Saccharomyces cerevisiae S288C: one gene and its partners. The protein of the gene in region 1 binds, or shares a complex with, the protein of each later gene. Each region holds a gene or a part of one and is shown in the gene's direction. Other genes may lie near its edges. The genes, in order: COR1, QCR2, QCR8 and RIP1.

What was found.
Region 2: the proteins of COR1 (region 1) and QCR2 are in contact, whole or in part, in a crystal structure (PDB 4PD4), measured with the Saccharomyces cerevisiae proteins. Residues at the interface, in NP_009508.1 of Saccharomyces cerevisiae: Ser45 (codon at 2,500), His47 (codon at 2,506), Thr48 (codon at 2,509), Lys80 (codon at 2,605), Ser83 (codon at 2,614), Ala84 (codon at 2,617), Ala87 (codon at 2,626), Lys88 (codon at 2,629), Glu89 (codon at 2,632), Gly90 (codon at 2,635), Leu91 (codon at 2,638), Ala92 (codon at 2,641), Ser107 (codon at 2,686), Ser108 (codon at 2,689), Leu109 (codon at 2,692), Phe291 (codon at 3,238), Glu292 (codon at 3,241), Pro293 (codon at 3,244), Ala294 (codon at 3,247), Leu297 (codon at 3,256), Gln298 (codon at 3,259), Gly299 (codon at 3,262), Thr361 (codon at 3,448), Arg365 (codon at 3,460), Ser368 (codon at 3,469), Leu369 (codon at 3,472), Lys371 (codon at 3,478), Leu372 (codon at 3,481), Gly375 (codon at 3,490), Gln376 (codon at 3,493); in NP_015517.1 of Saccharomyces cerevisiae: Arg22 (codon at 1,971), Ala24 (codon at 1,977), Thr26 (codon at 1,983), Lys27 (codon at 1,986), Ile28 (codon at 1,989), Arg53 (codon at 2,064), Gln57 (codon at 2,076), Ala64 (codon at 2,097), Leu65 (codon at 2,100), Val68 (codon at 2,109), Arg69 (codon at 2,112), Glu72 (codon at 2,121), Leu73 (codon at 2,124), Leu74 (codon at 2,127), Gly75 (codon at 2,130), Gly76 (codon at 2,133), Thr77 (codon at 2,136), Thr92 (codon at 2,181), Phe93 (codon at 2,184), Leu94 (codon at 2,187), Ser122 (codon at 2,271), Ala126 (codon at 2,283), Tyr129 (codon at 2,292), Ser262 (codon at 2,691), Ala263 (codon at 2,694), Leu264 (codon at 2,697), Ser265 (codon at 2,700), Ser268 (codon at 2,709), Gly269 (codon at 2,712), Pro316 (codon at 2,853).
Region 3: the proteins of COR1 (region 1) and QCR8 are in contact, whole or in part, in a crystal structure (PDB 2IBZ), measured with the Saccharomyces cerevisiae proteins. Residues at the interface, in NP_009508.1 of Saccharomyces cerevisiae: Gln170 (codon at 2,875), Leu245 (codon at 3,100), Gly246 (codon at 3,103), Ser247 (codon at 3,106), Glu248 (codon at 3,109), Val249 (codon at 3,112), Arg250 (codon at 3,115), Leu251 (codon at 3,118), Arg252 (codon at 3,121), Asp253 (codon at 3,124), Asp254 (codon at 3,127), Thr255 (codon at 3,130), Val337 (codon at 3,376), Thr338 (codon at 3,379), Asp428 (codon at 3,649), Asp430 (codon at 3,655), Glu440 (codon at 3,685), Gly441 (codon at 3,688), Leu443 (codon at 3,694), Tyr445 (codon at 3,700), Met446 (codon at 3,703), Arg449 (codon at 3,712); in NP_012369.1 of Saccharomyces cerevisiae: Trp12 (codon at 1,580), Trp13 (codon at 1,583), Gly14 (codon at 1,586), His15 (codon at 1,589), Met16 (codon at 1,592), Pro19 (codon at 1,601), Lys20 (codon at 1,604), Gln21 (codon at 1,607), Lys22 (codon at 1,610), Gly23 (codon at 1,613), Ile24 (codon at 1,616), Thr25 (codon at 1,619), Ser26 (codon at 1,622), Tyr27 (codon at 1,625), Ala28 (codon at 1,628), Val29 (codon at 1,631), Ser30 (codon at 1,634), Pro31 (codon at 1,637), Tyr32 (codon at 1,640), Ala33 (codon at 1,643).
Region 4: the proteins of COR1 (region 1) and RIP1 are in contact, whole or in part, in a cryo-EM structure (PDB 8YHQ), measured with the Saccharomyces cerevisiae proteins. Residues at the interface, in NP_009508.1 of Saccharomyces cerevisiae: Pro64 (codon at 2,557), Phe151 (codon at 2,818), Glu152 (codon at 2,821), Arg159 (codon at 2,842), Glu162 (codon at 2,851), His163 (codon at 2,854), Ser166 (codon at 2,863), Thr167 (codon at 2,866), Gln170 (codon at 2,875), Pro177 (codon at 2,896), Thr181 (codon at 2,908), Glu183 (codon at 2,914), Phe244 (codon at 3,097), Leu245 (codon at 3,100), Leu251 (codon at 3,118), Trp427 (codon at 3,646), Asp428 (codon at 3,649), Gln429 (codon at 3,652), Arg449 (codon at 3,712); in NP_010890.3 of Saccharomyces cerevisiae: Lys31 (codon at 2,250), Ser32 (codon at 2,253), Thr33 (codon at 2,256), Tyr34 (codon at 2,259), Arg35 (codon at 2,262), Thr36 (codon at 2,265), Phe39 (codon at 2,274), Leu43 (codon at 2,286), Asn47 (codon at 2,298), Ala49 (codon at 2,304), Arg53 (codon at 2,316), Tyr57 (codon at 2,328).

What each region holds. Positions count from the first base shown.
Region 1 is NC_001134.8:133,643-137,883, reverse strand, and holds COR1 (ubiquinol--cytochrome-c reductase subunit COR1), read left to right. Parts: upstream 1-2,367; coding exon 2,368-3,741; downstream 3,742-4,241. Other genes in the region: ECM13 (Ecm13p), read right to left, coding at 423-1,196; YBL044W (uncharacterized protein), read right to left, coding at 1,518-1,886; PSY4 (Psy4p), read right to left, coding at 4,135-4,241. UniProt on the Saccharomyces cerevisiae protein: Component of the ubiquinol-cytochrome c oxidoreductase, a multisubunit transmembrane complex that is part of the mitochondrial electron transport chain which drives oxidative phosphorylation.
Region 2 is NC_001148.4:917,474-921,458, forward strand, and holds QCR2 (ubiquinol--cytochrome-c reductase subunit 2), read left to right. Parts: upstream 1-1,907; coding exon 1,908-3,014; downstream 3,015-3,985. Other genes in the region: RPC82 (DNA-directed RNA polymerase III subunit C82), read right to left, coding at 1-1,568. UniProt on the Saccharomyces cerevisiae protein: Component of the ubiquinol-cytochrome c oxidoreductase, a multisubunit transmembrane complex that is part of the mitochondrial electron transport chain which drives oxidative phosphorylation.
Region 3 is NC_001142.9:104,888-107,218, forward strand, and holds QCR8 (ubiquinol--cytochrome-c reductase subunit 8), read left to right. Parts: upstream 1-1,546; coding exon 1,547-1,831; downstream 1,832-2,331. Other genes in the region: ERG20 (bifunctional (2E,6E)-farnesyl diphosphate synthase/dimethylallyltranstransferase), read left to right, coding at 127-1,185; protein kinase HAL5, read right to left, coding at 2,007-2,331. UniProt on the Saccharomyces cerevisiae protein: Component of the ubiquinol-cytochrome c oxidoreductase, a multisubunit transmembrane complex that is part of the mitochondrial electron transport chain which drives oxidative phosphorylation.
Region 4 is NC_001137.3:105,101-108,749, forward strand, and holds RIP1 (ubiquinol--cytochrome-c reductase catalytic subunit RIP1), read left to right. Parts: upstream 1-2,159; coding exon 2,160-2,807; downstream 2,808-3,649. Other genes in the region: YEL025C (uncharacterized protein), read right to left, coding at 1-1,047; YEL023C (uncharacterized protein), read right to left, coding at 3,404-3,649. UniProt on the Saccharomyces cerevisiae protein: Component of the ubiquinol-cytochrome c oxidoreductase, a multisubunit transmembrane complex that is part of the mitochondrial electron transport chain which drives oxidative phosphorylation.

The sequences.
Region 1 (4,241 bases):
TTGAATTCGTAGTTTTATTGCGCAAAGTACCATATTAAAACTTTACTTTTCGCCTATGCAATAATCTTGTACATATTGAGTTATCGTGGTAAAATAAAAAACCTGTGCCGAACGCCGTTTTGGAGCATGGTATAGAGTTGAAAATGACTAATAAAAGGAACCGTTAATTTACCCATATACTGGGCGAAAACAAAAGGTTCTTTTTTTTTTTTTTTTTTTTTTTTATTTTATTTTATTTTAAACTAAAAACTTTATTTTGAACGTTATGAAGTAAGAATATATATATTTTGCGTTTGGTATTTAGACAAGTGGTGATGCACTAGTTAGTAATAATGATACAACAACAATGAGAAAAAAAAAATAGGATGCAGATGTGAATATGATAATGCAAAACGAAGTTGTGTTATTTCCTTCATTTTAATTTATGCTGTGATAGGACAAGAATGAAATCTCGTTAATGGTACGGAACCATCGTCGACATCGCTACTACTCTCGTTTTCGCTGTCATCTTCTTGTCCATTTACCCGCCGAGAGAGCACACGGAAGATTGGCGCTGAACTATGCAAACTCACAGCATCGAGCGTTTCAGTGTCCTGTTCTTCCTCTGTCGTAGAGGCAGTGGCGGGAAGAGCATTGTAGCGCGGCGTTGATTCGGCAAGTTCATCCGTCTGCTCGGAATGAGAGTTTGTGTGAGTCAAATATTGATAATTAGGTGCGGTGTGAAAACTAAAGTACATGTCAATTTTCTTGTTATAATCACCGCCAGAGTAATCGTACTCAAAATCATAGTCTTCATAATCATCATCGTCTTCACTGTCAGTAGAAGATAGAGTGTCAGCATCTGGATCTTCGTCACTAGAGTAAAAATCACAGTAATCTTCACTTTCTATCGTCTTTTCTGCATTTTCCTCCTTACCGACGTCATTTTTACTAGCATTAGCATTGGACAATTCGATATGTTCGATGGACAAGTTTTCAGGTCCTTTACTGAAAGGGTCTCCGGCAAGGGCGTTGGTTGCAGCATTATGAGTTTCCACATTTTCTGTAATCTTATCCAGCAAGTTTGCGTGCCCGACTAAAACTCTCAGGTTGTAGTCTTTGTTTTTAGTAGTCACGCTAACGCATTTTGCCAGCTTGGAGCGTACTTTGCTGGCCAAAATATATTGATCTTGAATCGATGGGGTTGTAGAGTTCATTATAATCGCAGTATGCGGAATTTTCTATGTGAGAAAAACAATAAATAATTGTGAAAAAACTTGGATGTATAGTGTAATACTATAAAAAATTTCTGCTGGTATGTAGCTGTCTTTTTATTTTTTCTTTGGTCATACAGGGCTGTAAGCAGAGAAAGTCGAACAAAGACGTAACACCAGAGAAAGAAACTTGAATGCTTTTGTTAGATATATATATATATATTTATACATATGCCTCTCGCTAGAGGATATATCGCCGCGGAGCGCAGCGAACTACATCCGAAAACATCACAAATAATGCATGGGCAACCGGATACATTGCATTTAGTTTTGCCTTTTTTTCCAATTGTCACAGCTTCCTCGAAGTTTCTGACCCGGTAAAACGTGCGAAATGCCTCTTCTAATGCCGAAACAAGGGAAACCCTTAAAGCTTCCGTGCAAGCTGACCATGCCGGTCCGCACTTCGGGTCTTGTCCGTCGCCCGTGATCCAATAGGATACAACTACAAATCTGGGGTAAAGTCCGACTTTCGGCCCGCCGTGCGTTACTGCATGTTACATCACTATGGTGGGGACGGAAAATCACAGATGAGTCAGCTTCGTGATTTCCTGTTTCGGTGATGCTTGCAGTATACTTCAAATACTTCGCTTTACTTGGCAACCTTTTTTTTTGCCTCTCTAGCATTTCACCCATACCCACCAGGGGGAAAAAGAAAAGAGAGATTTTAAAACCAGATATTCTTTTTCACGATTTACATAACCCGGACTGGGTAGGGTAACATGTATATGAACTTTAACTGTGACCCGGACAGCACGCTTTCTGCACCAATGAAATGCCAATAAATTAACAGTGTTTTTTGTCCTCCAGAAGTTCAAGGGCCCGCGCTGTCAGCTGCACCAAATAAAAACCAAACAAGAAAATTAAAGGCCTACAGCGCTCCCTAACCGATATTCCCCTACTCTCTTTCCCCGTCTTATTCGAGGAAAACAGCGTATAATAAAGCAATAGCTTTCACAGAAAAAATATTATATCATCCCTGTTCGTATAGGTAACGAATCCTAATATTAAATTGCTACCATTGCTGATCAAGACAATTGTGGAGTAATAATACGAGAAGAACATCATCGTCACCATATCACTGAGAAAGAAAACACAAGATATATAAACAAAAAAAATGCTAAGAACAGTAACTTCAAAGACTGTATCTAACCAGTTCAAGAGGTCTTTGGCTACAGCTGTAGCAACCCCCAAGGCCGAAGTAACGCAATTATCTAACGGTATAGTTGTAGCCACTGAGCATAATCCTTCCGCTCACACAGCCTCTGTCGGTGTTGTCTTCGGCTCCGGTGCTGCCAACGAAAACCCTTATAACAACGGGGTTTCCAATTTATGGAAGAACATCTTTCTATCCAAAGAAAACTCTGCTGTTGCCGCCAAGGAAGGTTTGGCATTGTCTTCCAATATCTCCAGAGACTTCCAATCTTACATTGTATCTTCTTTGCCAGGTTCTACCGATAAATCACTAGACTTCTTGAATCAGTCTTTCATCCAACAAAAGGCTAATTTGCTATCTTCTTCTAACTTCGAGGCCACGAAGAAATCTGTCTTGAAGCAAGTTCAAGATTTTGAAGAAAACGACCATCCCAACAGAGTTTTGGAACATTTACACTCCACCGCCTTCCAAAACACTCCATTATCTTTGCCTACTAGAGGTACTTTGGAGTCCTTGGAGAATTTAGTTGTTGCTGATCTGGAATCTTTTGCCAATAACCATTTCTTGAATTCAAATGCTGTTGTTGTTGGTACCGGTAATATCAAACATGAGGATTTAGTAAATTCCATCGAATCCAAAAACCTAAGTTTGCAAACCGGTACCAAGCCCGTACTCAAGAAAAAGGCCGCTTTCTTGGGTTCCGAAGTTAGATTGAGAGACGACACCTTGCCAAAGGCGTGGATTTCGCTGGCTGTGGAAGGTGAACCTGTCAATTCACCAAATTATTTTGTTGCTAAATTAGCCGCCCAAATTTTCGGCTCATACAACGCCTTCGAACCCGCTTCTAGATTACAAGGTATCAAATTGTTAGACAACATACAGGAGTACCAATTATGCGACAATTTCAATCATTTCTCTCTTTCTTACAAAGATTCCGGTTTATGGGGGTTCTCTACGGCCACGAGAAACGTTACCATGATTGACGACCTCATCCATTTCACTTTGAAACAATGGAACAGATTGACCATTTCTGTCACTGATACTGAAGTTGAACGTGCCAAATCGCTGTTGAAATTACAATTAGGGCAGTTATACGAATCTGGTAATCCCGTCAATGACGCTAACTTGTTAGGCGCAGAAGTCCTAATCAAGGGCTCCAAACTGTCTCTGGGTGAGGCTTTCAAGAAAATTGATGCAATCACAGTCAAAGATGTTAAGGCTTGGGCCGGTAAGAGATTATGGGACCAAGATATTGCTATTGCTGGTACAGGCCAAATTGAAGGGTTATTAGATTACATGAGAATCAGAAGTGACATGTCCATGATGAGATGGTAAGATGTGTGATAATATATTTTCCATGCACATAAAATAGAAATAAGCAAGCTGCTAGATGTATACAGGCACGCTCGCACACTCACACCATAAATGAATTTTTTACATGTATTTTATATTCTAGTAACCCAAGTAGTCTTCATTATTTATTGGCAAGGTCACTGTTCCTTGCAAAAGTAGAAAATAAAAAAAGAAAAAAAAAGAAACTCGTAAGAAAACAAGATTAAATAAACGTCTTATTTTATATAAGTGTATATATATATATATATATATATGTGACCAAGATCCTGAAGAACTATCGATTTTAAAAATAAGAAAGATGAACTTTTTTTTGGTAAAACATATTTAATGATATTATGCAAATGGGAAGTTGTTGGTAGAGAAGTCATCTCTCGATCATCTGGACTTCTTGCCTAATGGACTGCTAATATTCTCACGGTAGGTAATACCAGCAATCGCAACCATCTTATCCTCTTGTGAAGAGCTCATCGATGGACTCACTA
Region 2 (3,985 bases), on another chromosome or scaffold:
TTGATAATTTTCTCAGACACCAGCTTGTTATCACGAATACAACGGCTTAAACGCATTGCTGAGGGTCCCAACGTAGACGCGATAACATACTCATAAACAGATGACTTTAATACTGGCATTAGTTTGCTATATGGAACATAGTAAACACCTGGTTTGGTTTCGTTCAAAAAGGGGAAATTTGATGATGCTAGGATTTTTAAATGACTATTTATCAAAGAAGCTGAGTGAGGATCCTCAGTGTCTGCATCCAAATCCTCCTCCTCTTCGTCTTCTTCTTGTGTATCTCCACTTTCTTGAAGAGATTTGGAAACAGCAGCAGGTAGCGCCGGGATCACAAATCCATCTTCGGTTTTTAATTTTTTACTGGGTAATGATGCAGCAGCGTTTGAGCCAGAACGCTTTTTATTGTCAGAGGGCTTTCTAGATAATAAGCTTCCACGCAAGTCCAATTCTGCGGGGAGATGTCTTGCCAAGTCAATAGCATTAAAGGTAAGCCCTGGTGTCTTCTCCTCAACAAGTTCGGCTTCGTCTTGAAACGATTTTGCTTCCTCCAAATCTTGTAAAAGCCCAGTTTGAGTTAGTGGATCTCTAATTTTAGGAGACTTTTGCTCTGTGAGTCTTAATGCAATTTTGTAAACTTGAGCTGTGACGGAGCCGACTCTTGTCTTGGCCAAGTTAATCAATTGTTTAGATCTTCTACCTTTCATAAATCTATCCAAATTAATCGTCAGAGAGACTGTAGGTTTAACAATCCTCAATGAGGTCTTTGGATCAACCGTTAAGATTTGTGAAAGCTCATTTGGTTTATTTATGATTTTGGCAAAATCAGTTTTCGCATTCATCTTGGCTTGGGATCTTTTCTTCAAATCGGACAACGGGGAGTTTCTGGGAATATTTTTGTAATGTTTTTCATATAAAAATTGCCAGAGATCTTCGATTGGGGTATAATGCAATTTTGATATTTGAATAAGATATCCCATTTCACACAGTTGCACGAATAGTGATGAAATGGTGTACTTCATGGAATCTGACGTGACACTACTTAGATAATCTTCCACTGTTAAGGACCCTAATGATATAACGTTTTGTACAATTTCAGCCACCAGCTGTTTATGCTCCTCTTCGTCGTTTACACGCATTTGCGTAATAATTTCGTCAATAATCAACCCTGAGTAGAGTAAAATGTGTATCCCTTCCTCGTTATAGTAATAATAAGTCGTTTTTTTCCCGGATATTGCTGTTTCTTGCAGGTACTTAACACACCTTAATTGAGTTAATGAGACTAGTGTCGTCTTGACGCTGTCTACATCCATACCATCTATTTTCTCCACTAACTCGCGCACACTCAATCTGCCCAGCGCAACCAACATCCCAATTACAGAAGCTGCTCTTTCACCCAGATGTGCCTTCACCAACTCTTTGTAAAGAAACAAATCGGGATTCAAGGTTCTCTGTTCCAAGGATGATATGGTCATAACATCTTCGGGGGTGACCAACTTCTCAGATTCGACAGTGCTCTCACCTGTTTGGTTCTCTGCACTAAGCGCTTCTCCCAGTAACTCGTCCATTTGGATCTTGCTCAACAAAAATTTTTCCCTATTCCTGTGTCAGCAATTCTCTATTGTTCTCAATATTTCTTCCACTATTATTATTTTGATCCAAAATTATTTTTTTCCTTCAATGCGATGAGCTTTTGAAAAATTTCTGATCATTCCCAACGAACCAATAGAAGGCCCGCCCCGTCTTATATCCGTTAGCCTACCAAATATATATATAAAGAACAAGGGCCTTTCCTCAGAGCGTTTGCTGACGAAGTTTTAGAAGTTAATAAGGTTTTTAACAGCAGTGTGCTCGAACGATTAGGACGGGAGAGTTAAAATTATTAAAAGGAAAAAAGAAGAACGTTGATGTTGTCAGCAGCTAGATTGCAATTTGCCCAGGGGTCAGTTAGAAGGTTGACCGTTTCCGCTAGAGACGCACCTACTAAAATATCTACATTGGCTGTTAAGGTCCATGGAGGGTCTCGTTATGCAACCAAGGATGGTGTGGCCCATCTTTTAAACAGATTCAACTTTCAAAACACGAACACTAGATCAGCTTTGAAATTAGTCAGAGAATCCGAATTATTAGGGGGAACTTTTAAGTCTACCTTGGATAGGGAATACATCACTTTGAAAGCTACCTTTTTGAAGGACGACCTTCCCTACTACGTCAATGCCCTAGCAGACGTGCTATACAAGACTGCCTTCAAACCTCACGAGCTCACCGAATCTGTTTTGCCTGCTGCTAGATACGATTATGCGGTCGCTGAACAATGTCCGGTAAAGAGCGCCGAAGACCAATTGTATGCCATTACATTCAGAAAGGGTTTAGGAAACCCATTGTTATACGATGGTGTGGAAAGAGTCAGTTTGCAAGATATCAAGGACTTTGCGGACAAAGTCTATACCAAGGAGAACCTTGAAGTTAGCGGTGAAAATGTTGTTGAGGCCGATTTGAAAAGATTTGTTGACGAGTCACTGTTAAGCACTTTGCCTGCAGGTAAGTCATTGGTGAGTAAATCCGAACCAAAATTCTTTTTGGGTGAAGAAAACAGGGTAAGGTTTATCGGTGACTCCGTTGCCGCCATTGGTATCCCGGTAAACAAAGCCTCCCTAGCTCAATATGAAGTATTGGCCAACTATTTGACCTCTGCCCTATCCGAGCTTTCCGGTTTAATCAGCTCGGCTAAACTTGATAAATTCACTGACGGCGGCCTATTTACTCTGTTTGTAAGAGACCAGGACAGCGCCGTGGTATCTTCCAACATCAAGAAAATTGTTGCGGATTTGAAGAAGGGCAAGGACTTATCCCCTGCAATAAATTACACAAAGTTAAAGAATGCCGTCCAAAATGAATCTGTTTCCAGCCCAATTGAACTAAATTTTGACGCCGTGAAGGACTTTAAGTTGGGAAAATTCAACTATGTAGCCGTCGGTGATGTTTCCAACTTGCCATATTTGGACGAATTGTAAGAGGAAAGTATTTGTACAAAACGAAAAACTAAAGGCAAATATATATATAGATGTTGCCGCGCACCTTTTTTTTAATGAATATTCACACAAATATTGAAAATAAAAACAAACAAAATTCAAATAACAACATGTAAGACCAAAAAAAAATCCCTCATTATTTATTCCTTACCCTTTCCAAATTCTTACTATACTAGTAAATATATATTTAATTATCCTTTTTTCTACTTCAGCATACAATCCTTCTTTTGCCGCAGGTTTATAGTTAGACCCCTCAATTCTGTCAAGTTTCAGTGGTACGTTATTTTATGTCTCATCTCACGATCCTGGCAAAAAAAGAAAGGCATGTAATTTGAGGAGGCGATTCACCCTCATTTTTACGCAACAACAATGCTGTGTGGCTTACACGCCTCTGCGTACATATCTACATATTTAACGGTCCTGTATTTTCAAGCACGCAAGGCTGAAATAAACGGTTGTTTGCTTATGCGCGATGCACTCCGCCGAACATCACCGCAAAAGCACCGTAGGCGGAGATCTCCCAGCTAGTATGGGCATGACGGAACCACGATTTCCAGATATAGATACTTAAAAGCACTAAAAGGTCTATACATAAAACGCAGACTTACGTAAGATACATAGCAACTGCCGATATGGACGCCGCCATGCCGAATGACAAAGGGAGAATGTAGTACTAATTGATATCGTCTTATCCTCTCAGGAATGCAAACTTAAAACATACTTTCTCCCGTCCTAACAACGCCGGTTGTCGACGATAAATACCCCAAGAAATGCCCGCACAGAATCTCCTCCGTTAGGTGGTCATGCCCCGAGGGTGCGAGGTTGTTTCCTGCACGGTAAATCGGGATGCCATGAAAGCCGGCCCTCCCCACGCGTCCCCTAATTTTTTTCCAAGTGAATATCTGCATCGGCCACCGTTTTATATTACTTCGATAAGCTTGCCTTAAACTCAT
Region 3 (2,331 bases), on another chromosome or scaffold:
ACGCATGTCGAAACTAATACTTTATGATAGATTGTTCTTCTATCAGTTTTCATTTTAACTTTAAAAACTCAACCAACAGGTATTGGACTGACATAGGCACAATAAACTCAAAAATATTACGTAGAAATGGCTTCAGAAAAAGAAATTAGGAGAGAGAGATTCTTGAACGTTTTCCCTAAATTAGTAGAGGAATTGAACGCATCGCTTTTGGCTTACGGTATGCCTAAGGAAGCATGTGACTGGTATGCCCACTCATTGAACTACAACACTCCAGGCGGTAAGCTAAATAGAGGTTTGTCCGTTGTGGACACGTATGCTATTCTCTCCAACAAGACCGTTGAACAATTGGGGCAAGAAGAATACGAAAAGGTTGCCATTCTAGGTTGGTGCATTGAGTTGTTGCAGGCTTACTTCTTGGTCGCCGATGATATGATGGACAAGTCCATTACCAGAAGAGGCCAACCATGTTGGTACAAGGTTCCTGAAGTTGGGGAAATTGCCATCAATGACGCATTCATGTTAGAGGCTGCTATCTACAAGCTTTTGAAATCTCACTTCAGAAACGAAAAATACTACATAGATATCACCGAATTGTTCCATGAGGTCACCTTCCAAACCGAATTGGGCCAATTGATGGACTTAATCACTGCACCTGAAGACAAAGTCGACTTGAGTAAGTTCTCCCTAAAGAAGCACTCCTTCATAGTTACTTTCAAGACTGCTTACTATTCTTTCTACTTGCCTGTCGCATTGGCCATGTACGTTGCCGGTATCACGGATGAAAAGGATTTGAAACAAGCCAGAGATGTCTTGATTCCATTGGGTGAATACTTCCAAATTCAAGATGACTACTTAGACTGCTTCGGTACCCCAGAACAGATCGGTAAGATCGGTACAGATATCCAAGATAACAAATGTTCTTGGGTAATCAACAAGGCATTGGAACTTGCTTCCGCAGAACAAAGAAAGACTTTAGACGAAAATTACGGTAAGAAGGACTCAGTCGCAGAAGCCAAATGCAAAAAGATTTTCAATGACTTGAAAATTGAACAGCTATACCACGAATATGAAGAGTCTATTGCCAAGGATTTGAAGGCCAAAATTTCTCAGGTCGATGAGTCTCGTGGCTTCAAAGCTGATGTCTTAACTGCGTTCTTGAACAAAGTTTACAAGAGAAGCAAATAGAACTAACGCTAATCGATAAAACATTAGATTTCAAACTAGATAAGGACCATGTATAAGAACTATATACTTCCAATATAATATAGTATAAGCTTTAAGATAGTATCTCTCGATCTACCGTTCCACGTGACTAGTCCAAGGATTTTTTTTAAGCCAATGAAAATGAAGAAATGCGTGATCGGAAATTACGGGTAGTACGAGAAGGAAACTTGAGCCACCCCCCAAATTTTATTCATATAATAATAGGAAAAGCAACGACCTCATCTCTCGAACATTGTTTACTTGAGCAAGTCCGATTAAGAGTAAGTTGTCGTACGTTAAATACAAATAATCAACAAAACACTACACAAAAACTTCTACGATAATGGGTCCTCCAAGCGGTAAAACTTACATGGGATGGTGGGGTCACATGGGTGGTCCAAAGCAAAAAGGTATAACCTCATATGCTGTGTCTCCATATGCTCAAAAGCCATTACAAGGTATTTTCCATAACGCTGTATTCAATAGTTTTAGAAGATTTAAGTCTCAATTTCTATATGTATTAATACCTGCGGGAATTTATTGGTACTGGTGGAAGAACGGTAACGAGTATAATGAATTTCTGTACAGCAAAGCTGGTAGAGAAGAGCTGGAAAGAGTTAATGTTTAATATTGTTTCCATGCCTCTACATTACATCGATCTTTTGATCTTCTAAAAACTTACATATATATTCTGTTTATAAAACAAGAGCAAATAACCCCCATATATTTATTCAGTCAGTCTATTTATTTACTTACAGTATCAGTAATAATAAATACTTAAGCATTTTTTGTTTTGTATATCTTTATTTACTAACCTTGGTATGTAAGTGTCTATAAACTACACAGCATTTTGTTTTCCTCATCCAGGAGCTTTGTAGTAATTGTTCAATGGTGATTCTCTTCGTGGGGTCGACCTGGAACGTTCTATATAGTGCAATTTTCCTCAACCTATTCAGTTCGCTACTAACATGTCTTAATTCCTCAAATAGATAAAACTGTCCATCATCTTTAATTTCACTGAGAAATGATTTAAAAAGAGAATCCTTTTCAGGAATGGCGATTTTCCAAAGATACTGTCCCATGACCATTGTACAGTAAACAATACCACAACTCCAACAATCTACCAGA
Region 4 (3,649 bases), on another chromosome or scaffold:
TTCTTTTGTCCATTGTAGTTCTTTCAGGACGTGGTCTCTATGTAACGACCTAGTGTGTATCTTGGCAGTGTATTTGTTAGCATACACGTCAGAAATTGTCAAGAGAATGACTGATCTTTCATATATCACATCATAAGAATCTTTTAGAAATTGGTAGTTTTCTACATTTGGGAGACCTTTATTATTGAAAAAAGCCCCGTTTGTAAGCCCACTTGCTTTTATATTTATTATTTGAGTGTAGTTAGTAGTCAACACTACAATGGTATGGCCGCAAACTACCTTCATATAACAAAATTCATTATCACATATCGGCAAAAGATTGTATTGGCGGTACTCGTTTAAATCAAATTTCCTACTTCCATGCTTTCCAGCAAGATTGTATTCCTTTAAAAACAGGTTTTCACTATAGCAACTCTTAAGTAGGCAAAGAAAATAAACGTGTGATTTACCTGTGCATGTGGCGTCGTCAAGCAAATCCTCCCTGCTAATAAAATCAAAGGAGATAATTTCTTCGCCATCGGTGGCATAAAATCTTTCGACTATTCCTTCTCTGAAGTCAAAGGAGTAAATTGTCGTACATAACGTATGCAAATCACTATCATATGATATGTTTTTATTGCAAGTGTATAAAACACCCTCAAAGGAAGCATTTAACCAGCTGGAAGTTAATAAAGAAATAGTATCCAGTTTCGGAGCCACATTAGAGTCGTAGATAATTTCAAATTTGTTATTTTCGCATTTGAATCCCTTAATGGAACCGTCGTTAAACATTAGCAGGTGACAGAAGGAAGCTGACATGAACATCGGTACAGTTGCGTAGTTAACAACGAACGGTCCATCTAAAGCGAACTCAACCTTCGCTTTCAATTCGTTGGACGTTCCGGTATACAATCCATAGCTAAAACATAAAAAGTAACTTCCTTCGTGATGAAGACAACTTACCAGCTTCTCAGCCTCATCTTTTGATCTATAAGATGTTATGCATAAAGGTAAAAAGGCCGAATTGCTATCCAATTTTTTGCAGTCCGTTTCATCTTGTCTTGCCATTTTACGTGGCAATGGCTAGTGCAATATGCAATGCGCTAACGCTGACATTATAACACAATATATTTTTCTACCCTCCCTTTCGCTGAGTTGCGACCAGAATGTCTGTTTTTCAGTCATGTATTTCTTTCCGCTTTAGGCGTTCAGGCAAGCGCGTTCAGTTGAAAGCAAATAGAACCTATAACGACGAATACGCTTAAAGGAAGTATACAGGAAATAGAAAAAGAAGCGTACTGCATGTACTAAAAACCAAAAAAAACACCACATCGGCTCTCTGGTTGTATCCATACTTTCCCTAAAATTTTGTAACTCAAGAAAATACCTACATAAAACGATAATCAGTGGATTGCACTGATCAAGTCGAAAAACTCCGTACATGCCCGTCTATCCCTGTCTCATCCATATAAACTGAACTAGGTAGAAAAAAATACCTACCCTTTCTTTAACCGCCTGGTATATTAAATACCATTGTCAATTGAGAAGCTAACAGCCATTGTAAGAGTTATGTCCAGTGTCCGACTAAGACAAGGTAACCATACGTTGATAGCTATGAATACCCCAGAGGAAGATTATTCTTTCTCATAAATCCTTTTTATTGGTTTCAAAAATCCACCAATAAGTTCATATAGCTTGGGCGGCTATTCATGCGTAATATAATGTGCATGAAGTACGACCCATCGACTCTTAGAGCAAATGCTTCCTAAATTGAAATAACTAGCCGCCTTTAATTCGAGCCTTCTTGTCATCTTGTGTATTTCATCCTTTCAACTTCTCCTGTTCCACCTTTCACTCTAAGCTTCCCTATCATTTGGCCTCTTTCAGGTTCGTCCATAGCGCATCTTTTTCCTTTTAGACACTCCATAACGGACCAATCAGCGTTTTGCGCCATTTATCGGTCTTGGGTCACGTGCGGCGACGCGGAGGCTCCCTTATAAGGACTGGAAAAAGACCTGCAAGAACTATAGTTGGTTCTTGAATATCAAGTAATATATTACTTCTCTGTCGTAACTTTTTGTTGCTTTCAAGTTCAACGTCTTTTAAAAACCAAGAAATTATTGAACATAAATAATATCACTCTAACACTTATTAGGAAACCGAAAGGAGCAATAACAAACATGTTAGGAATAAGATCATCTGTCAAGACCTGCTTCAAGCCAATGTCTTTAACTTCCAAAAGACTGATTTCTCAATCTTTGCTGGCTAGCAAATCCACGTACAGGACCCCAAATTTTGATGACGTTTTAAAGGAAAATAACGATGCTGATAAAGGCCGTTCTTATGCTTACTTTATGGTCGGTGCTATGGGTCTTTTGTCATCTGCAGGTGCCAAATCAACCGTAGAAACCTTTATTTCATCTATGACCGCTACTGCCGATGTTTTGGCTATGGCTAAAGTTGAAGTTAATTTAGCGGCTATCCCATTGGGTAAAAACGTGGTTGTCAAATGGCAAGGTAAGCCTGTGTTCATTAGACACAGAACTCCTCATGAAATTCAGGAAGCCAACAGTGTGGATATGTCCGCTTTGAAGGACCCACAGACCGATGCTGACAGAGTCAAAGACCCTCAATGGTTAATTATGCTGGGTATTTGTACTCACTTAGGTTGTGTTCCAATTGGTGAAGCCGGTGATTTTGGTGGTTGGTTCTGTCCTTGCCATGGTTCACATTATGATATTTCCGGTAGAATCAGAAAGGGACCTGCCCCCTTAAACTTAGAAATTCCTGCTTATGAATTCGATGGTGATAAGGTCATTGTTGGTTAGGTTTGTTTTTCGTCCTCGAAAACTACATCTTTATTGTCTATTTGTTTCACCCTTATTTTGATTTTTCATTTACTATCCATTATGTTATGAACGGGAACTATACAACTAACCTAAGAATTTTGAAATCACAACAAAAATAATCAACATCACAGTCTCGAAGGGATTACGCTCAAAAAGGAACGAAAATCACTATACTGTATTCCCTGTTGATTTTCCTAAGAATATATTCTTATACAATATGGAGAAAACAAAAGGATAAGAAAAGAAAGGGGAAATAAAGAAGATTTGGACCTATTTATTACTACTTTTTTGTCTCACCATCTTCTTTTTCTATTCATAATATTTGATATTCCTTTATTTATCTGCATGTATTTATAATTAACGAAACTATTTATCTTCCCTCGTCCTGCCTTATCCTTCTTTTCTCCAAATGTTTTACCTAAGATTGGCCTGTATTTGAATATTGATGTCCAGAAGCAGAAGATTTCACATGTTGTATAAAGTATACAAGATTGTAAAAATGATTGAAGTATTTTTATATATGTATATTACCTATAAAATTTTTTATATTACGTACCGAAGGGGTTTTTTTAATGCTAAAGCGATTCATCTTGCTGTAGGTATATTTTTAAATCATCTGGAATATCTGTCCAGGAATTACTATCCCAGTCCATGAATTTCTTTTTTAATTGGGAGTATTTACTGTCAAATAATCTTGAATTGTATGTCGTTGCAAAATAACTTGCTTTTTGACCCATGTGGAGTTCCTGCCCTTCCTCATTATCAAAAAAGCCCCCATTGATTTCACTCCCGTTGCTATTATCTTGCTTATCATATTTATT